4 linked regions of the Saccharomyces cerevisiae S288C genome follow. The gene in region 3 interacts genetically with the main gene of each other region. Each region holds a gene or a part of one and is shown on either strand. Other genes may lie near its edges. The genes, in order: UBC7, CNE1, STE24 and HAC1.

The links.
Region 1: mutations in STE24 (region 3) and UBC7 together harm fitness more than expected from each alone (negative genetic interaction), as found in Saccharomyces cerevisiae (5 studies listed by BioGRID, with this or other methods).
Region 2: mutations in STE24 (region 3) and CNE1 together harm fitness more than expected from each alone (negative genetic interaction), as found in Saccharomyces cerevisiae (5 studies listed by BioGRID).
Region 4: mutations in STE24 (region 3) and HAC1 together harm fitness more than expected from each alone (negative genetic interaction), as found in Saccharomyces cerevisiae (6 studies listed by BioGRID, with this or other methods).

Annotation. Positions count from the first base shown.
Region 1 is NC_001145.3:316,694-319,677, reverse strand, and holds UBC7 (E2 ubiquitin-conjugating protein UBC7), read right to left. Parts: upstream 999-2,984; coding exon 501-998; downstream 1-500. Other genes in the region: MSS1 (Mss1p), read left to right, coding at 1-241; MAC1 (Mac1p), read left to right, coding at 1,260-2,513; FMS1 (polyamine oxidase), read right to left, coding at 2,775-2,984.
Region 2 is NC_001133.9:35,762-39,472, reverse strand, and holds CNE1 (calnexin), read right to left. Parts: upstream 2,010-3,711; coding exon 501-2,009; downstream 1-500. Other genes in the region: GPB2 (Gpb2p), read right to left, coding at 1-214; ECM1 (Ecm1p), read right to left, coding at 2,326-2,964; BDH1 ((R,R)-butanediol dehydrogenase), read right to left, coding at 3,170-3,711. UniProt on the Saccharomyces cerevisiae protein: Interacts with newly synthesized monoglucosylated glycoproteins in the endoplasmic reticulum. It may act in assisting protein assembly and/or in the retention within the ER of unassembled protein subunits.
Region 3 is NC_001142.9:640,383-646,818, reverse strand, and holds STE24 (zinc metalloprotease), read right to left. Parts: upstream 4,813-6,436; coding exon 3,451-4,812; downstream 1-3,450. Other genes in the region: JHD2 (histone demethylase), read left to right, coding at 329-2,515; ILM1 (Ilm1p), read left to right, coding at 2,718-3,329; TDA4 (Tda4p), read right to left, coding at 5,155-5,994; YJR115W (uncharacterized protein), read right to left, coding at 6,368-6,436. UniProt on the Saccharomyces cerevisiae protein: Proteolytically removes the C-terminal three residues of farnesylated A-factor mating pheromone. Also acts to cleave the N-terminal extension of the pheromone. Does not act on Ras.
Region 4 is NC_001138.5:73,467-81,898, reverse strand, and holds HAC1 (transcription factor HAC1), read right to left. Parts: upstream 6,721-8,432; coding exon 6,060-6,720; intron 5,808-6,059; coding exon 5,752-5,807; downstream 1-5,751. Other genes in the region: GTPase-activating protein GYP8, read left to right, coding at 1-1,480; putative ATP-binding cassette family ATPase CAF16, read left to right, coding at 1,686-2,555; cyclin-dependent protein kinase-activating kinase CAK1, read left to right, coding at 2,738-3,844; AGX1 (alanine--glyoxylate transaminase), read right to left, coding at 3,911-5,068; protein kinase RIM15, read left to right, coding at 7,472-8,432. UniProt on the Saccharomyces cerevisiae protein: Transcriptional activator involved in the unfolded protein response (UPR) pathway. Recognizes and binds to the UPR element (UPRE) in the promoter of UPR-regulated genes such as KAR2, PDI1, EUG1 and FKB2.

The sequences.
Region 1 (2,984 bases), on a different chromosome or scaffold from region 3:
TCAATCAAGTGCCGATGCAAGTCCTGTCATTGTTTCCAAAAGAGTGTCAGAGATTCTCAAAAACGACGTACTGTACGGCTTGGAAGAGTTTTTCAAATCCAAAGATTTCCATAATGATATAGTATTGGCCACAGAAAATTTGAGGTATGCATCCGATGGAATAGCTAAGATAACAGGACAAGCTATTGGTATTGAGGAAATCTTAGATTCAGTGTTCAGCAAATTTTGTATAGGAAAATAACCTAGTTACAATCATCGTGTATATAAATAAAAGAAAATTGATTAACGCTTCGGTACAGAGAGGTGAGAGTAGAGGGGCCCCTGATTATACACCAACGAAATGGAAATGGTTTGAATTCCTGAAAAGCCAGGAAGACATTGAGATTTTAACATATTTATTATGTGACATTTGCTTTCTTTTAGATGGTAGATATGCTTATTTATGTATATAGAGAACAGTTAAAAGGAAGACCAAATGATCATTAACCTGCTACCTGCTTTCAGAATCCTAATGATTTCAAAATGGATAACTTTACCTGTCTCTCAAATTCAGGTCTATTATCTCTCCACAAGATGCAAGCATCAATGTTGGCACCACTTTCGATATTGGGCTCACTCAACATGCTCATAACACTTAATAGAATTTTTTCTACACTTTGCACTGGCGACCATCTTTCTTCCGCTAATTCGTACATGTTAGGATCATCACCAGGGGAGTGTAGAATGGATATGCACACTTCCCCATTTGGATAAATATTTGGATGTAGTATGCTGGGTGTGAAAGTAAGTTTAGGTGGAGATAACGGATAGTCTTTAGGAAACTCTAGCTTAGCATTAAAAACACCATCAGCGTATGGCGTATCTGGAGGCCCTTGAATTAGGCAGTCCCAAATGAATATGTTATTCTCCGATTTGGGACCAGCCACTATACCAGGTGGAGAATCTTTAATTAACTGTTGAAGCTCCTTGAGGAGACGTTTCTGAGCGGTTTTCGACATGCTATGCCCTTCCAAATTACACTATTACTAGGGAAGTTCCTTTTAGGATAATCTCCTTCGTACGCTAAACGCCAGAGTTTACTTTGGCGCTTTTCGAGCTCTTGGTTTAGAGGCTGTAATCTCGTTTTCGGGTAATGGCGAAAAGGAGTTATAAGAAGGATCTCGAGACAATAAGCTGCTGCATCTTCGTGAGGTAGATGCGATGAGGCGCCTTGTTTTAAACTTGAAACAGTCTGGTAAGTTCTTCAAGCTCTATCAGAGATGATAATATTTAATGGGAACAAATATGCGTGTGCATCGTGCATCAGAGGGCATCGCTCTTCAACATGCAGGCATTCTCACCGAATGCTAATTAAGGTGAGAACTAGAGGAAGACCTTCACCCATGGCTATCAGAGACGCTATTTTAGTAGACTCTACATCGCAAAGTACAGAATACGAAAATGGTGCACAAATTGAAGGTGACTGCTGCAGCGCAATGAATCAACAGCCAATACTGTTTGTACGTGCCTCTGCTGTTAGAAAGGCAAGAATGATAAACGGAAAATTGCATATATTAATGGAGGAAGGTTTCACTGCTCATGAGCCTAAAGATATTAGCACATTTACCGATGATGGTAACAAATATATCACCGAAACGGAGTTTCTTAGGAAACACTCTCCCAAAGCTCCGGCAACAGGAACAATATCTCCGGACTCTACCAAGTCATCTTCTTCAAGTGAGAAGAAAGAGCGAAGCCGGCTTCAACAGGAGCCTATACGACATTTTTCAAACTGCTGTAAGAAAGATAAATCACAGAACCCAGCTTCTAATGGCAAGACGAACAAGGCACCGTCTGATGACATATTTACGCCATACGGCTCCTTGGAATCTACGTCCGCTTTTAACGATATTTTACAAGAAAACTACAATAGTTCTGTTCCTGGTGCGCATGACAGTTCAGAAACACTCACCCCACAAAGTACAACAACGATTGCTGCTCCTCATTCAAGCGACGTTGCTTCGAAAGTTGAAGTCCTGACTCATAAGGGCATTTTTTTAAGCACGCAGTGCTCTTGTGAAGATGAAAGCTGCCCATGTGTTAATTGTCTAATCCATAGAAGCGAAGAGGAACTGAATTCTTATATTCAACAAAGTGGTGTTCCTTTAACCAATATTGGTGAAGCTCAAATTACTGATAAGATGATGGATTATTTGGATGATTGTAAATGCACTGACAAGGAATGCATATGTCCTCCGGATAACTGCACTTGTGATGGATGTTTTTCTCACTCTACAAATATAATTCCATTTGAAAAATTCTTTTTCTATGGAATTCTGAATGCAAGATTAACAAGGAAAACTCAAATAAAATTCAAAGGTAAATTGGTGCCGTCAAAATATTGGTGGGATTTTTTGAAGTTGCAAGTGCCATTGATGACAGATGCTCAGTTAGAATTACTTGACATTCATGCGTGGTTTCAAAAATTAGTCTCTAATTATGCACCACATCTAAGCGATGCCACCACTTCATAAAATCACGTAAATACAGATAGAAAACACATTGAGGCAACAGGAATGAAAATGCACCCTACTACTCTCTGAACCACCATATGATAATATTCCAATCTATTGTGCTTAACATTAAAATTGTTCAAACTTGGTATAAGCAACAAGTGGGAGAATTAGGTGTACCTCAAATTTTTGAAAAAGCACAGAGTGTTACTAAAAATTTTAATATGTATGTATATCCTTTTCTAGCCGTCAAAAGTGTAAGTAATTTCGAAAAAATAGATTCTATTTCAGTAAGTCAGAGATTCGAGTCGCCTCCCGTCTTCCGCTTTCCCAAGCACCATAGGCACAGCCGGCGCCGTCCATGATAGTATGTTCGCCTGCAAATCTTATGCGGGAGTCTTGACCATTAGACATTGCAACAACCATATCAACTGGATCATCTCCTGGAAAACAGGCCGAATAAGCACCGCGTGAGTAAGGATCGCGTGTCCA
Region 2 (3,711 bases), on a different chromosome or scaffold from region 3:
CCTTGTCACCAAATATCTCTTTACCAAAAAGCGCGAAAATAGAAAGATAATTCGTCACGTATGGCAAAGGTTCAAAGCAATGATCACCCAAAGATCGAGAGGTTTCTATTCGTTCTTCGCCTTCCAACGCTGATGAAAATGGTGATACAGCGACTCTGTTTCTCTCATAGGGGCTGTATCCACCGTCGTTCCATGGTGAACTGGAAATTTCCATGCCTATGATTTAGTAATGCGACAATGGACCTGCCAATGAATCACAATCTTTACTATTCTATTCCGTCTTATCGGGGATGCTAGTTGTTCTATGTTCGCTTAATTACGGGTTTTTCTTGTTGCATGATTACTTACTGCATGAAAAAATAAGATTTAACATCGGGTAAGTATTATACATCATCATTTAATCATGATGATAATATTGATACTATAATGTTAACCATCTATAAAAGAGAAGCCGTTGTGGTGCAATTATTGAGACCATGTTATAAACTAACACTTGTCCACTATGTAAATACTACACAACAAAGAACCGACGTCGTCAAGAGCACGACGGCCGCAGTAAGCACAAATTTCAGAGGTTGCTCTAATATGCGATCTATAATGCGGTCAAATGGATTAGGGGATTCTCTTTCGTTATGGAAAGTTGTTTGTAGATTTCCTAGTCTGCTATTCATGAATTTGCGTTCTGTGGGGCCATCGGAGCCTCTAAACGCGCGGTCTCTCATCAGCCAAGTCTTATTCCCAATAATTTGCGCCTCTGTTACATTTTTACCAACATAAATGTTGCTTATCAACATGTTTGGAGATCCACTCCAAAACTCGAGGATCACACCACTGATAACGTTTTCGATGCGCAATGGGTGCTGCTCTTCGTAGTATAGCGGGTTTTCAATTTCCGGTGGATGCCATTCCCCCATGTAATTGGGATTTATGATTTCATTGAGTTCGCCTGGACCTTTGTACTTGGCATTATTTATCAGCCCTGGTATCTGCTGGCCACAACCACGTTCTGCAGTGCAAAGAGGATTTTTAATCATGGGCGGTATCCATTCCCCGTGCTCAAGTTCCTTCCACCACGAGGGCTTTTGAGCATTTGGGTCAAGAATGTATTCGGGGATGGAGCTGTTCCATTCTGGTGGTTCAGTGCCATCTGGATGTGGAATCATCAATGGGTCTCGTTCATCCCGATCACTGAGCTTCACCGCCTCAGGATCTGGGATTCGGATGCGATCATCCCAATCATGCGGTTTCGCTACTGAAACATCAGGAATCATTAAAGGCGGTGTAATGGGTGGCTCAAAATTGACCTTTTTCTTGTCTTCGATATGTTCTCTTACCATAACCGTCTTACCGTCTATAAGAATTTGAAAAGACTGCGCTGATTCATCTATTATGAGCGTATACAGATGAGATTGCGAGGTATCAGTTAATTTTGACAGGGGCATCTCTTGCAAATATCTTAGTTTAGATTCATGTGTGATCTTGTCAACCTTATTGATGGCAAATTGCACGCCATTTATTTCAGGAGCACAATAATCCGGACCAAAAACTAACTCGACACCCTCTGTATCGGGTGCATAGTGTTTTAATGCTTCAACATTCATGAAACCAGACATTAACTTAATAAACGCACCGCCGCACGTCAAAGAATTGTCCAACTTAATTTCGTACTGGACAACCAAGGTATCCGTTTCTGAAACATTAATAGGTGTCTCCAAGAGATGTCCTATCATAGCTGCGGCATTGCCTGTTCGAACTGCGATTCCTTTATCCCATGCGGATCCTTGCAATCGACCCTGTGATAGTCGCCATTGTGCACCATATATTTTAGAGCCTTCATTGTTGACGGCTTCACTTGTGATCCACTCTTGGTTTAAATGCTTTGTATTAGTGTAAGCCTGAAAATGCTCCCAGAAAGAATCTTCCGCTAATGTAACGTTGGATAGCAATGAAGTGCCTTTCACCAACGCTAGATTCAAAAACAGCCACCATAAATACGCAGAAAATTTCATAGTACTACTTTGTGTGGCCGTTATCTATATTAGAAATGCGTTGCCGTTCACTTTTTTACACAATCCTTAAACGACATGCATCACACGGTTTTCAGCTAACCCATAATAATTTTCTTTTTCTTAATCAACTTGATATTGAAAAAGTTGTAACTATTAATGAAGTTTTTCAATAATAGTATACATCCAGATATATAAAAAATAAAATAAAACTAAGCTAAAACCATGTTATCTAATGTACAAAGAATGAAAGAAGATAGAAAAAAGAAGAATGCGTACAAGAATCGTGTATTCCTAGGACCTTTCATATGAAAATTTTCTATTCTTCAACATCGTCTGGCAGGACACCGAATCTATTTGTAGGAGTCTTCTGCACTGTGTTATCCTCTGCTAAAGAGTCAAAAACTTCTGGGATCTCCTCATCTTCCTTTTCAGCATTACCTTCACTAGCACTTTTTGCCTGCACAGACAACCCTCCGTTCAAAAAAGCCAGCTCTTTTTTTATAGTCTCATTGGTGCTATCCCAGCCAGCCTTTCTTGTATTTTGAATGTACTTGGCACGAGAAATGGACTTGGCAATTTTACCGTCCAGACGATTGGTAAAATTCAAGGCCTTCACTAAACGATCCCTGTCCATGGATGAAATAGAGTTGGCCAGTTTGTCTTCCAGAGCCTTTTTATTTAACTTCTTGCCCCTCTTACTTTTATTGGCTTTCTTAGATATCTTTGCTTCCAGCAATGCCTCATTCTTGGCTGCTGTTCTAATCAAAATATTAGTCAAATCGGTTTTTTCAGCTCTAGGTAGTTCACTTAAATCCTTTACCTCTGGTTCAAGAGCATCCGATTGTCTAGCAGCTCTTGAATTCTTTGATATTTTCTTGGCCATGCTTTGTTTTAGACGATATCTTACCAGTATAGTCAAGGAAAAAACTACCTTTTGTCGTCTTTGTTCCCACATTCAATACTTCTAAAGGGTCCTTAACCAAAAAAATTTTCAGCTCATCGCCAAGTTGAATAAAGGAAAAAAAAAGAAGAAAAAAAAAAATAATATAGTCGCAGAAACTTACTTCTGTCTGTTTCATAACAACAAATATTATAAAAGAAAATACATAATCTTAGATACTACAAATGAGCCGCGAGGGGCCCCAAATATTATTTTGTCATTACTTCATTTCACCGTGATTGTTAGGCGTCAATAGAATCTTAACGTTGGATTCCTTGTGATCCATCAACTCTTGGAATCCCTTTTCCCAACCGTCCTCAATCCTTTGCTTACCAGTGATTAGTTGCTTACAATCTTCCATGGCGATGTCTCCGTTGTGGATGGCACGAACAACTTCTTCGAAGTCTTCGACAACATAGCCGATCGAACCAGTCATAACTTTCTCTTGGAGAGTCACATCCATTGGTTGGAATGGGACAGGTTTTGGACCCCAAACTGCAATGTTGGTGGCTGTCCCCTTGAATGTTAATGCCTTCAAAGAGGTTTCGAAAGTAACTTGAATACCAGAACAATCATAACTGTAATCAAACCCATCATGGCTCTTGGTCAAACCACGTAGTATCTCTATAGATTTATGACCGTGCTTGGAGGGATTGAACACCTCAACGCCCAGTTTCTTGGCCATTTCTATTCTTCTCTCTGCAATTTCAGACACTACAATTTTACTAGCCCCCATTCCCTTAAGTACCAAAATGGTACACA
Region 3 (6,436 bases):
CCCTAGGTGTAACCAGAAGAGATTAGGAGGGCTTAGGGCCAGTATTTTATCTGATGTAGGGCAAACGAGTAAAATGTGTAGGGTATGGGCTAATATCAAGGGCTTCGGACTTACTGCCCCGCTCACAGAAACAGCCGCACTAATTAATTTCTTTTGTGTAACGTTAAAGTAACCCTGGAATCATCATTGAAAAATTATCATCCCAAGAGACAGAGATGTGCATGTTGACAACGCAGGCTCAATGTAGAATAAGATCTGACTACTTAGTCAATTTTACCTCTAGATCATATTAACTAATCTCATCTTGCACAAAAAACGTATCACTATCATGGAGGAAATTCCTGCCCTGTATCCAACGGAACAAGAATTCAAAAATCCGATCGATTATCTCTCTAACCCCCACATTAAAAGGCTTGGTGTACGATATGGTATGGTCAAGGTCGTACCACCAAACGGGTTCTGCCCGCCACTTTCTATTGATATGGAAAATTTTACTTTTCAACCAAGAATTCAAAATCTGGAGAACCTAGACCTGAAAAATAGGTGTAGGCTATTTTTTATGAAACAGTTAAATAATTTTAAAAGATCCGTTAAGGATCCATCGAAACTTATACTTAGGGAACCTTATACGATTGTAGAATATTCAGATTCTACTCATGCATCGGAAATACTAAAAAAAAAAGTGTACTTTTATGACGTTTTCTCTGAACTAATAAAAGACAATCGGACACTTACTGACACTACACAGTCATTCAGGCGAAAATTGAAATTTAGAGATATTTCCCAATTAAGAGGCGACATCAGTCTATGGAGGACCATTTCTAAAAAATTCAACGTACCAATCGGCTTGTTAAAGGAAATTTTTGAGAAATATATTGCCTCATACTACATATTTCTTCATTCACTGAACGAGAACGTGCACACGGCGCTGCATGCTGACCAGTATCCAAAATCCTTATTAAGTGATGACGAGGACGATTTCGATCTTGGGCCAGATTCGAATTCTGGGTCGGATTTTGAGGAGGACGATGATGATGCTTGTATTGTTTGTCGCAAGACAAATGATCCAAAAAGAACAATTTTATGTGATTCATGTGACAAACCATTCCATATATATTGTTTATCACCACCTTTGGAACGTGTTCCCTCTGGCGATTGGATTTGTAACACTTGTATCGTCGGAAACGGATATTACGGATTCACTCAGGACACGCATGACTATTCTCTACCAGAGTTTCAAGAATATTGTAAACGTCAAAATTCAAGGTTATTACCAGCACGAAAACTGTCTATAGATGAGTTGGAAGAGATGTTTTGGAGCTTAGTGACCAAGAATCGTCGCAGTTCATTAACGACAGTTAAATACGGTGCTGACATACATAACGAATTGCCAGGTCAAATTACCGGCTTTCCGACGAGAGAATTTATACCCAAAAATATAAATGGGGACGAATTGATAGACTACCTCAAATATTGCGATCATCCTATGAATTTAACTAACTTGCCTATGGCTCATAATTCGCTATTACCGTTATTTAAAAGAAATATTTCTGGCATGACTATTCCTTGGATTTACATAGGCTCCTTATTTTCCACATTTTGTTGGCATATGGAAGATCAGTATACCCTAAGTGCTAACTATCAACATGAAGGTGACCCTAAGGTCTGGTACAGCATTCCCGAATCGGGATGTACGAAATTCAACGATCTATTAAATGATATGTCACCAGACTTATTTATCAAACAACCAGACCTACTGCATCAGCTAGTGACTTTAATATCTCCGTACGATCCAAATTTCAAGAAATCAGGTATTCCTGTGTACAAAGCTGTGCAAAAGCCCAACGAATATATTATCACGTTTCCTAAATGTTACCATGCTGGTTTTAATACAGGTTATAATTTTAATGAAGCTGTCAATTTTACTATAGATTTCTGGCTACCATATGGATTTGGTGCGATTACGGATTATAAATTAACTCAGAAAGCATGTGTTTTTGATATGTTTGATTTAATGATCAATGTTTTGGACAAGTACAATAAAGATACTCTATTGTTCAATGATGCTTTTGTTAGGCAATGTTACTCTTCATTGATCGTCTTTTATAATACTGAATTAAAACGCATACGGAAAATTCAGGCCATTGTACCACGGACAACTCTTTTGGAGGTGCATACTGATCCAAACGATGAAGATGAGGAATACGATATATTTTGTTCCCAATGTAAGACTATATGTTCAATAGCCTTTGTATTGCGAAAGAATAACTATGATTCAATTAGAACGTATAAAAGACACAAGAAAAACCATTTAAGTATTAGGCAGTGGAATGAACTATCCACGACGGACAGTAAAGTGAGTATCCTGTGTACGCAGGATTACTTAAAATCAATACAAAACTTGAACAATAGCGACGGTGAAGAACCTTATATTGACGATGAATTGTATTTCACTAAGTCTTTGAAGGATATTGACTCTTTAATAAAGCAAGTTGGTGTTAAGTTAGATAGATAGTCTTCAATATTTGTGTATGGCGTAATGATTTTTTAGAATAATACTTGGCATTTAGCACGCCACTTTTAGCGCGAAAACACCAAAAAAGTAAAGAAAATAATGTCGATCAATCTTTAAAGAGAGACAATTGAATGGTAGTGTAACAATTTACAACATAATAGAGTATCGCATTCAGCAAAAGTAAAGAATAAATTCTAAGAAAATGGCTCAAGCCTTGAACTCCACCAATATTGCTTTTTTCAGAGTAGCATTTTTATTCACGATCGCCTTCTTTTGTTTAAAGAACGTTAATTCTATTTTGCAAAATACATATTTCATAGTCTTAACGCAAGCGATGAATTTACCGCAGTTAACACTGTCACGTTATAGTGGTCAATTGGGTCTTTTCGCTCTTCTGTTTACTCTTAACGGTGTTCATGATCTAATTCCCCTGTTAGAAAACAATGTTAAATACTTCCAATCTGTTGTGCCAGTTAGATTACTAATTTTTTTTATTTTGACAAGTATCTCGTACCTTTGGGAGTCAAACTTTTACGTTCACAATAACTCTGTTTTTATTTACTGTTTTGCAGAAGTTTGGATAAATTTTCTTTTGTATAATGCCATTAGGGAGGAGAAAAATGAAGAGTTCAAAAGATTGAACCAATTCATGGTTAATGATGAGGATATTGAAGAACCCCAACCATTTACCGTGAAGACTGAAACCACAGAAATCATTGAAATAATCAATGATGAAGAAAATGACGATGAAGATGGGAAAGATAATGATGATAACAATGAGAAAGGTAATGATGATAGCGATGCAAAAAAATAAAATGTTTAATCGTTTATTTTTTCTTTCCTTTATTCTTATAGTAGATACCTGTGTATGTATGTAGATATAGACATAACGAAGCTGAATTTAACGGTACATGCTAATATGTGTACTCTATAGATTAGTTTTTCTTCTTTTCACTAACATAGTCTAGAGCGGTCAATCTTTCAGCTAGAGTTGGATGGGAATAATGATAGCTAGAATACAGAGGATCTACATTCATGGTGGAAAGGTTTTTGATTTGTAGATCAATTAGAGCCCTACATAGATTTTGCTTGTAGCCCAATTTTTTAGCATAAGCATCAGCTTGATATTCATGAGTTCTGGAAATTAAACTCATCACGAATTGCATGGCACATTCGAGTGGAGTTAATAAGTCGTTAAATAACATAAATCCAATGATAATGGGGAATTCCTTAGTGATAACGGGATCAACAAAACTGCCAGTGGACTTCTCTAAGAAAAAGCCGAAGGTGTTGTAAAATGATGTATTTCTGTAGATGCTGGTGAAAAGGGAGAAAATGAGGAAGGTGTGCAATTGACTAAAGATGACCATATTAACGATGTGGTTTTTTTGCCAGTGACCGATTTCATGGGCCAAAACAGCCGTAATTTCATCAGTAGAATTACTGTTCACTAAAGTGTCGAACAAAACAATTCTCTTGGAGGTGAATGGCAAACCTGTGAAATATGCGTTTGAATGAGAAGATCTTTTTGAGCCGTCAATGACAAAAATCTTATCTAGAGGGAACCCAACTCTATCGGCCAAACTTTCAATAGATTTTTTCAGTTCACCGTCCTCCAATGGAGTGAACTTATTAAACATGGGCATGATGAAGACTGGAATGATTGTCATGGCTAAGATTTGGACAACGAACAAGAAGACCATAATGTACCAAAGGAAATCAGTAGGGAATTTATCAAAGATCTTAAGGAACAGGTAAAGGATTGGGCCACCAATAGCATACGCCAAAGTCAGACTCTTGATCATATCGGTGATCCATAGTTGGACGGTCAATTTATTGAAACCAAATTTTTCTTCCAGGACAAAATGGCTATAGTAAGAGAGTGGCAAATCAACCAAGGTAGACAAACTGGATAAGAGACCCAAGAAGCATAAACTCTGTGCGACAGTGGAGACCATATGAAATCTGACTGGCAGGACTGCATTCAATAAAGAAACGGCCATGTGCCAGATTTTAGGGAAGAGGTCGTATTTGATGAAAACTAGCTTTTGGGCTAGGTTATAGACGTCACCGAAAATGGAGAACTTGGCCTTGGCCCGGGAGTAGTTCCTTGATTTATGAAAAGTTTCATCATCAATTTCGTCTTCCAGCACAGGTGGCAACTTTGTTTCAGATAGCTTCTGGTACTGTCTGTACGTCAAGTAAGATTCGAAAGAAAATTGGGCAATCGAGAACCCAGAAATGATTAATTTCCACGGGATATTAGGATGGTCGAGAATCGTCTTAAGATCAAACATGAATAAAGGCCTGCAGTTTTCTATTTCCTCCTTTTTTTTCCTTCCTTTTCCTGTTAATTATAGAAGTGGTTTATAATTCGCGAACTTTTTCTCTTGTTCGTTGTCTTTTTTTTTTTATTTCCCGTCGATTTTTTTCTGGAGAAAATGGCAGAACAGAGACGAAGGAATTAGAGTTTTTGAGTAAATGACGTAGAAAAAGAGGGAAAAGTTTAATTGCCTCTTTTTGGTTAATAGGAATGAATATACAAGTTTACATATATGTATATTTGTATGTATGTATGTAGATGTATGTGTGTGTGTGTGTAAGGCGTTTCGTTGTTGAAGATAGAAAAAAAGGTAGGTTTAGTCTAGCTTCGACGTTGGGGCTGGTTTTGCAAGTTTCTTGGCGATTCTAATCATCTTCTTGAACCAAAGCACGTTCAAAAGGTTCATGAAAATGTTCAGCGACATCATCGTGACAGCAGAAAACTTGGGTAACTCGTCTCTTACCTTCCACATCTGCCTGAATAAGAGAGCGGATGCGATGGAGCCCCAGCAAATCCTGACGACGAAAAACACAGTCATGAGCAAAAGGCCATTGACGACATTAAACCACAGAGGGATAGAGTTCTTGCTCTTGGCGTTACATTGCATGATGAACCAATTGATGTTCACAAAGGGAGTGGAGGCCTCGTAGATAAGGAACCTGCCGATCCAGGGTTGGCAGAACGGTCTTAAGGACAACAGCATCACATATACGGAGCCAATGGCGTGGCCCGTGAACTCGAGACCATAAAGCTTGAAGTAACGCACGCACATAGTCAAGTCCCAGATAAAGTACCCTGCGCTGAGGGAAGATACCATTGAACTGTACGAATCTGTGTAGGTGACAACATTATAATGCATTGGCGTCGTGAGGGTGGGCAACAGGACGGTGTTCGAGACGACAGCCTGGATCATCGAGACGGTGTGGACATTGAAATCAATTTTCAGCAGTGGGTCACGGATCGTGGTGTAGTGCTTGCGAAAGACCACTTTATTCAAGAACGGTGCGACAACGGAGAATGCGAGCTGGTAGAAGACGAAGCTGAAGATGATCTCATGCAAATGAGCCAGTATTAAATTAGACGAATGAGGGAAGAAGGACAGCTTTTCGAAGGGGCTGGTGAGGCCGATTGCTGTCGTGGTAGAGTTGGCGTTCATTGCGGCAAGAGCGATAGCTTAAAAATATTGTTTTTTTTTTCTCTTTTATTAAACTATGTTTTATACTGTTATGTTGCGTTGAGTTATGTCAAAATATTATGTTGCCTTGTATGTTTTTGGACCCGACAAAAACACAGGCTGAAAAGAAACACGTATGTATGTATATGTATATAAACATATGTGTGCATATATAAGTGCACGTATAGAAATAATATGCGATAAAAGTCTATTGTTCCTGGCTCATAAAACCTAGGAACTGAACGAGTTTTTTTCTTTGGTGATTCTGGCGTGATTCAACATTCGTATGCGATGACGGGCAGATCCGCGTCGTAAAAATGTTCTTAAGAAAGGAAAAGGGGAAAATGCATGCTAATCACATAATGCTAATGGGCCGGATGTTATTAGTGAGAGGAGAAGAGTCGCTGGATGCTGGGGAAGCGGA
Region 4 (8,432 bases), on a different chromosome or scaffold from region 3:
ATTATTTCATACTAATCAGAGTAGCCACGACAAAGACGCGTTGACAAGGGGAGGTTATAACGCATATCTGGAATCACTTTCTCGTTGTGACAGTGGAAAGGCAGAAGAACAAAAAGGAAAAGTTATATCAAAGTTATTAGAGAAAAAAGATGTCCGAGCTTTGAGGTACATAGGTTTAGGGCCTCTGGGGTTTGTAAACAACTCATTAAGAAAAGATTGTTGGTATGAATTATTGGCGTCCCAGTTGCTTATTGATGATGCAACAGAGTACATTACACCAGTGGAAAAACATAAAGATGAAGGTCAGGTGATATTGGATGCAGAAAGGTCTTTTGGTGGAATTGTCGACAAAAACTTGAAACTGCAATTGAGAAAACTACTGGTGGAGTTAATTACTCGGGTATTGAGAAAGTACCCAACGTTGAACTATTACCAAGGTTATCATGATATTGTGTCTGTTTTCATCATGTGTTTTAGTTGGAATGTCACAAAAGAGAACGGACTGGAACTAGAAAATCTCTCATTGCAAGAAGAAATTGATATGGAAAGGCTGTTTTATTGCATCGAAGCATTTACCCTATTATATCTGAGGGATTTCATGATGAACTCACTAGATTTTTCATTTGAGCAATTGAGAGTAATCTCTTCATTGATAAAGGAATCAAACATGAAATTCTATAATCTATTCAAATTTGACGAAAATGAGCCCCTTTTCGCTATTGGGTCAATATTGACAATCTTTGCACATAATTTGAAACCTATAGATAGCGGTGACAACAATCTTCATAAAATTCTTTTCCAGATATTTGACATGACAATATCGATGCAATCTATGCGTTTACCTTTGATCATATACAAGAACCTGCTATTGCAAAATGCGTCTGAAATTTCGAAGCAAATAGAAGCTAATTCTGATTTCTTCGAGAACGATTTTGACCTGCGCCATGGTGCTATACAAACAGTTTTACAGAAAAAACTGTATGATGAGGCGCTTTGGGAAGAAGTCTTGCAAATAACTAGAAAAGATGCGACTACTGCCAGCAAGAAGGCTTTGAAACGGGTGAGTCTTAATAAATATAGTGCATTACTCAATACAGCATGTGGAAAGCCAGGATGCTTCGATATGAGCACCATTATCTTCTATTTGAGCGAACAAACAAAGATGAACGAGCATTACAAGGAAGAAAAGTATCATGGTGTCGCCGCCAGATCCAAGACAAGGGCGTTGGTCCAAAGACTTGGCCATTTTTTACCCTCCAAATATAACAGGTGGAGCAAAATTTCTTTACTTATCGGGATTGTAGCTATCCTGTACCAATTACGGACTACAAGGTCGTTGAGTTTAGTACTCAATCTACGTTACATGATCTCCACAAAGTTGAAAGACTTATCACATATAAATATAAATTTGCACCACGTTAGTCACATCTGGGTGGATCCGATTAGGGACATTTTGAAACTGGGGCATCCAACTAGATAGCATACAATATACCTTATATACCCATGACATAGAAACAAACTCATATGTAAGGTATTATTATAAAGTGCTTCTTTAAAATTCGCTGCGGAAATTTCTTCGAGGATGACTCAAATAAGAAAAAACGAAAATTCTGAAAGAGAGATTTTTAGTATGGAGAAAACCAGTACTCCTGCATAAGATATCAAGATATTAGATAACTCTCAAGATGGTTTCCCAATTTGCTATTGAGGTGCGTAACCTAACGTACAAATTCAAAGAAAGCTCCGATCCGTCAGTTGTTGATATCAATCTTCAAATCCCATGGAATACAAGATCTTTAGTTGTGGGTGCCAATGGTGCTGGTAAATCCACCCTTTTGAAATTACTAAGCGGTAAGCATCTTTGCCTTGATGGAAAAATCCTGGTCAATGGTCTTGATCCATTCAGTCCATTATCTATGAATCAAGTGGACGATGATGAAAGTGTTGAAGATTCGACGAACTACCAAACGACCACTTATCTAGGTACGGAATGGTGCCATATGAGTATCATTAATAGGGATATCGGCGTCTTGGAACTATTAAAAAGTATTGGATTCGATCATTTTAGGGAAAGAGGTGAAAGATTGGTTAGAATCCTGGACATCGATGTACGTTGGAGAATGCACAGGTTAAGTGATGGACAAAAGAGAAGAGTTCAGTTAGCCATGGGGCTCTTGAAACCTTGGAGAGTTTTACTACTTGATGAGGTCACTGTGGATCTCGATGTTATTGCCAGAGCAAGACTTCTGGAGTTTTTAAAGTGGGAGACCGAAACCAGAAGATGCTCAGTGGTCTACGCTACACATATTTTTGACGGCTTGGCCAAATGGCCTAACCAAGTATACCATATGAAATCAGGTAAGATTGTGGATAATTTAGATTATCAGAAAGACGTAGAGTTCTCTGAAGTGGTCAATGCTAAAGTTAATGGACAAGTGGCCTTTGAAAATGACAACAATAAGGTTGTTATTAGTAAAGTGAATAGTTTGCATCCATTAGCACTAGAATGGTTGAAACGTGATAATCAAATTCCTGACAAAGAGATTGGTATATAACTGAGTATATATAACTGCAAAGACCCCCTGTATAGAAAATATGTATCTTAGTGGAAAATGTGATTTGACTATTTAAGTTATAGAAGTAGTTTGTGATCCTAAAAAAAGGAAAACGACAGAAGTCTCATAGAAGCAAAGAGGCCAGATGAAGAAGAGAGGCAACAAAATTCACGCCCATCTTAATGAAACTGGATAGTATAGACATTACACACTGTCAGTTGGTCAAATCTACTAGAACTGCTAGGATTTATAGGTCGGATACATATGCCATTAAATGTCTAGCACTAGATTTCGATATCCCGCCACATAACGCCAAATTCGAAGTATCGATATTAAACAAACTGGGCAACAAATGTAAGCACATCTTACCTCTTCTAGAGTCTAAGGCTACCGATAATAATGACCTATTGTTGTTGTTTCCCTTTGAAGAGATGAACCTTTATGAGTTCATGCAAATGCACTATAAAAGAGATAGAAGAAAAAAAAATCCCTATTACGATTTGCTAAATCCCAGTATCCCAATTGTTGCGGACCCCCCCGTTCAGAAATATACTAATCAATTGGACGTCAATCGGTATTCTTTGTCCTTTTTCCGGCAAATGGTTGAAGGGATTGCATTCTTACATGAGAACAAGATCATTCACCGCGACATCAAACCGCAAAATATCATGCTAACAAACAATACCAGCACCGTATCCCCAAAGTTGTACATAATTGATTTTGGCATCTCTTATGACATGGCAAATAACTCACAAACAAGTGCGGAACCCATGGATAGCAAGGTGACGGATATAAGCACAGGAATTTACAAGGCCCCAGAAGTGCTTTTTGGAGTAAAATGCTATGATGGTGGCGTGGACGTGTGGTCGTTGTTGATAATTATTTCTCAGTGGTTCCAGAGAGAAACAAGCCGTATGGGGCACGTTCCGGCCATGATTGATGACGGCAGCGACGACATGAACTCAGATGGAAGCGATTTCAGACTGATTTGCTCAATATTCGAAAAGTTGGGCATACCGTCCATTCAGAAATGGGAAGAGGTTGCGCAACACGGCTCGGTTGATGCATTTGTTGGTATGTTTGGTGCAGATGGCGATGGCAAGTATGTACTGGACCAGGAGAAAGATGTACAGATTAGCATTGTTGAGAGGAATATGCCTCGACTGGACGAGATTGCGGATGTCAAAGTCAAGCAGAAGTTCATTAATTGTATCCTGGGGATGGTTTCATTTTCACCAAACGAAAGATGGAGCTGTCAAAGAATCTTGCAAGAATTAGAAAAGCCATAATAAGAAGAATATATAGGTACATATATATATATATATATATATATGAAATGAAAAGTACGAGGGTAATCACTTTTTCCTCTGAAGAGCTAGTTTTATTAAGTCGAAGCAGTTCTTCATGTACGGTAAATTCTTGTTGCAAGCGGTCACACCCATATGTCCAATACGGATATACTTGGGTCCGATGTCCTTGTGAATACCTCCGGCAATGACTACACCGTGTGACTTTAAAAAAGCAATGACATCAGGAGGATCTGCTACGTATACGGCTGTCAACCCGTGCGCAGACATGTTAGAAGGATACCTACTGACGGATGTCAATTGCAAGCCATTAACCAAACTGTCTTTAAACCAATCACTCATTTCACGGTGCAAATCCCATCTCTTATGCAACCCCTCTTCGAGAATTTCTTTCAAGGCTACATCAAGGCTATTAATTAGTTGTACGGGTGGGGTTGCAAAATAAGCTCCTTTACCAGCCTCATAATTTTCCATTATTGGTGTCCATCTTCTCAACGAGGAAAAATACCCATGTACATGACCATTTTTGCTGTCGTTGAGTGCATAATCCATGAATCTGCTACTGCATAGCGAGATAGAAAGACCCGCTGGAGCGCCAATAGCCTTTTGCGAAGCAGTCAAGGCGAAATCCACCCCCCATTCATCAAATTCAAACTCTTCGCATCCAATCGAGCATACAGCATCGACTACGAAGAACGTTTCCGGCGAAGTCTGCTTAATCGCTTGCGAAATGGCTTTCAGATCGGACAGCACTGCCGTTGAAGTGTCAACGTGCGTAACCGTGACAGCCCCATAGCTATTTTGCGACAACTTTTCAGTAATCAGTTCTAAGGGAACTGATTCGCCTATCTTGAGGGGCCTAACAACATCTACTTGCGCACCGTAGCTACGCAGACAGTCAGCAAACCTGTCAGAAAATGTCCCAGTGGATACGACCAGCACGTTCTTGTTGGGGGCCTTCGAAAGAATAAAGTTCGAGGCAAATATGTCCCACCCCAACGTACCAGAGCCGGCAAGCACAAAAGGCTGAGACTTCGAGGCAGCAGCGGATTTGAAGACAGCTCTTGTGTTCTTTAGCACCCTTTGAAAAATAGAGACGAACTCAGGAGAGGTGTGGCCCAAAGAGGGAACGTCCAGGGCCTTCTGGACTGCTCCGCTTAGGATAATGGGGCCTGGGATCAGCAGCGTATCTACAGATTTAGTCATCGTTGGTGTATTTAGGCTATGGAAAAAGAATTATATGAGCTTTCGTCTTCAACCAGTGCGATTATATAAAGACTGCGGAACAGAACATTCTTGGCCACTCCTCGAGGAGGACTACAGAGAGCCGTGAGAGTGAGAGTGATATGATGACTAAGGTCCTTTCGAAGGTATTTGATATAGTTATCACTCATTGGCCCGGAGTTAGGGGGAGATGTTCGCTTGCGGGAGCACGGGAGAAGGAACAGAGCGGCGTTAGCATCAAGTCTAAGGTTGAAAAGCTGCCCAACCTAAGGGCATACATCAAGAATTCTTTATAGTTTTATATAAAAAAATATATATATAGATAAATAGACAGATAGATATGACACAAACAGATAGAAAAAAAGCAGAGCGTGGCTCTTTGAGGTGGAACCCCAGCCAGTCTTGCTCCTTGCAGCCAAAAAAGGGTCTTGTTCAAGAGCTATGTTCAGTGTCGCTGCCCAGTCGCCACAAATAATTGTAGGAGGGCGCGCCAACCTCACGTTTGCATTCTTGAAAAGCCTCTTCTTCTTCGGTTGAAGTAGCACACACTAACCGGAGACAGAACAGTAGAAACCACTAAGCGAAAAAGAAATATATGAAAAGAAAAAACCCACCAACAGCGATAATAACGAGAAAAAAAAAATTATACCCTCTTGCGATTGTCTTCATGAAGTGATGAAGAAATCATTCAATTCAAATGAATTCAAACCTGACTGCGCTTCGGACAGTACAAGCAAGCCGTCCATTTCTTAGTAATAAGAAAAGAATGGCTCTATTTGTTCAGGAAAAACTAGCATAAAAGAAAAAAAGAAAGCTTCCAATAACCCTGCATTCTGCTTTTGAAGGTACTTTAACCGGCTCCTCCCCCATCAGAGAACCACGACTAAAAAAAAAAAAAAAGAAAAAAAGCAGAAAGCAAAAGCTGGGGCTAGTGTTCTTGTTCACTGTAGTTTCCTGGTCATCGTAATCACGGCTGGATTACGCCAATTGTCAAGATCAATTGAATTGTCAAAGGGTAGACTGTTTCCCGCTATATCGTCGCAGAGTGGGTCTGCCAACGGCGAGGCCACCGCATCAAACAAATTGTTGTTGTCTACGGCAGGTAGCGTCGTCGACTCTGGTACATTTTCCGTCTTAAACATCTGCAGCTCCCATGAAGTCTCTTGGTCCGACGCGGAATCGCGCATACTCTTGGGCGACAAAGTCGCAGGCTCCATTGTACAGTTCAGAGGTGAAGGTGTGAACGTATCAGACGACGAGTGCGAACTGGCCCTGGTGTCCAGTGAAGCGCCCCTCGTGCTCTGGAAATCCCTGTACTCGTCAAGAGAAGCAACAAAAGCGTCGTGGCTGCAAGTCAACGCGTCTTCGTGGTCAGCCAGTTTTTCAAGGTTGACGCTGTTCAGTAAATTTTCCAAAAGAGAACATTTTCTCTCGAGATACTGCAGATGTAGTCTTTTTTTCTCTCTGCTCTGGTGAGCAGCTCTTCTGTTTCTCAAAATACGCTCGATCCTTCGCTGTTCCTTTTCCTCTTTTGTCTTGGCTCTTTTCCTTGGAGGCAGAGTCGACTTGAAGTTGGTAGGGATAGCCAAGTTCGATTGCGAATTACTAGTTAGTTCAAAATCAGTCATTTCCATAGTGGCGGTTGTTGTCGTAGGTGGGGGAGGAGGAGGTTGTTATGTTTGACACTGAGTTAAAGCCTTGGAAGTTTAAATAAAACAAGAAGACAAGAAGAAAGGAAAATTTCGCTAAAAAACATATTTCTGTATTCATTTCTCGAGTTGTCCATTGAGGTGAAATTTCTTCTAATATATAGTGAATGTAGGGAGCGAGAACAAAAGAGAACAAGGTGTTCAAAACCACGTTCATCACTCGGTACGATGTATATTTGCGACTCTTTTTAGCCCTACTTAATGCTGAGCCACTTTGCCTTACAACCCTCATAAATGTATTTTTATCCTAGCTTCTTTTTCCATATTGCCCTAGGTCTTGTTTATTCATGTCACGTGACTATATTTCCAGGTTTTTCTTTTTTTCCTCGTCCCTTTTGTGGGAAAAGAAAGCGTCCTTACTAAAAATGAGGGAGCTTTAACTTTAATATACAGCTTTTGGCAGCTTGGTGTTGTTTTTCATTGTAAAAATAAGTTGTTGTTCGTATCACAGCATTTTCAACTTCTGCATTGTCTGCCGTTTTTTGTATAGATATAGACGTATATATATATACAGAATTCTCTATCCTCTTAACCACTCCTGGAAGGCCTGCTGTAGAGGTTCTGGTGGGTGCTTTTACTGAATTCCTAACTCATCAAGCATTTTCCCTTTTTTTTTTTCCCTTTCCTTTCTCTTGCCTCATTTGATAGAATAGATAAGCCCAGTAGAGGAAGACAGATGTTCAATAGAAGTAACACCGCAGGCGGATCTCAGGCTATGAAAGAGGGACTTGGCATAAACAAGCTCTCCCCGATATCATCGAATTCGAACCCAAGCTCATTGACTTCCTCCAATTATGAAAAATATCTGCAGCTGGCCACAGAGAAGAATCCGTGTATGATCTTGGAGCTGGAACTGGACGGCAAGGTGCGATATGGCTCTCCACAGTGGAACACGATCACAGGAGTCGCCGATGATAGTGGCTCTTCTCCGACGTACATTGCAGACCTTATTCTCGGATCCGATCAAGATAAAGGTGTCTTTCAAAAGGCCACAGACATGCTGCTCATGAATGATGACACCAGTTGCACTATAACGTTCAAGATAAAGGCAGCCGACTATGAAGGTAGCGCAGGCTGTGACGATGAAAGTACGATAACGACCTTGGAAGCACGTGGTATCTTAATCAGGGATGGCCACACACAGTTGCCCTCTCACACGATGTGGATAGTCAAGCCTCGCACAAACGACTGGTCAGACTTTTATGCCAACGAAGACGCTCAAGACGACATGGTCATCCAGTTATCCGATAATTGCGACGATATCGATATCCAACTTCCCGAAGAGTTCGCCAAGACGCTTGGGTTCGGCGCTAAGATCTTCGTGCAGTACTTGAAGAGAATACGACTGGAAATGATAATAGACGAGTTCAATCTACCTCTGCCAAAAATGGAACTATGCCGGGTCTGTGAGAACTTTGTCCCTGTTTGGTGGTTGGAGACCCATTCGCAAAGTTGCGTTTGCGAGCATAGAACGGAATCGCTCATACAATTACTACACGATAATCTTCTTGAGCAACAGGCGATCTTGGCAAACTTCACGAAAGATTCAGAGTATAAGGGCAGTCAGATACAGGTACGTTCCAACAACTTCCTTAACCAAGTTTTAGACTCCTTAAGAGAGCTGTGTCAGGACGCCA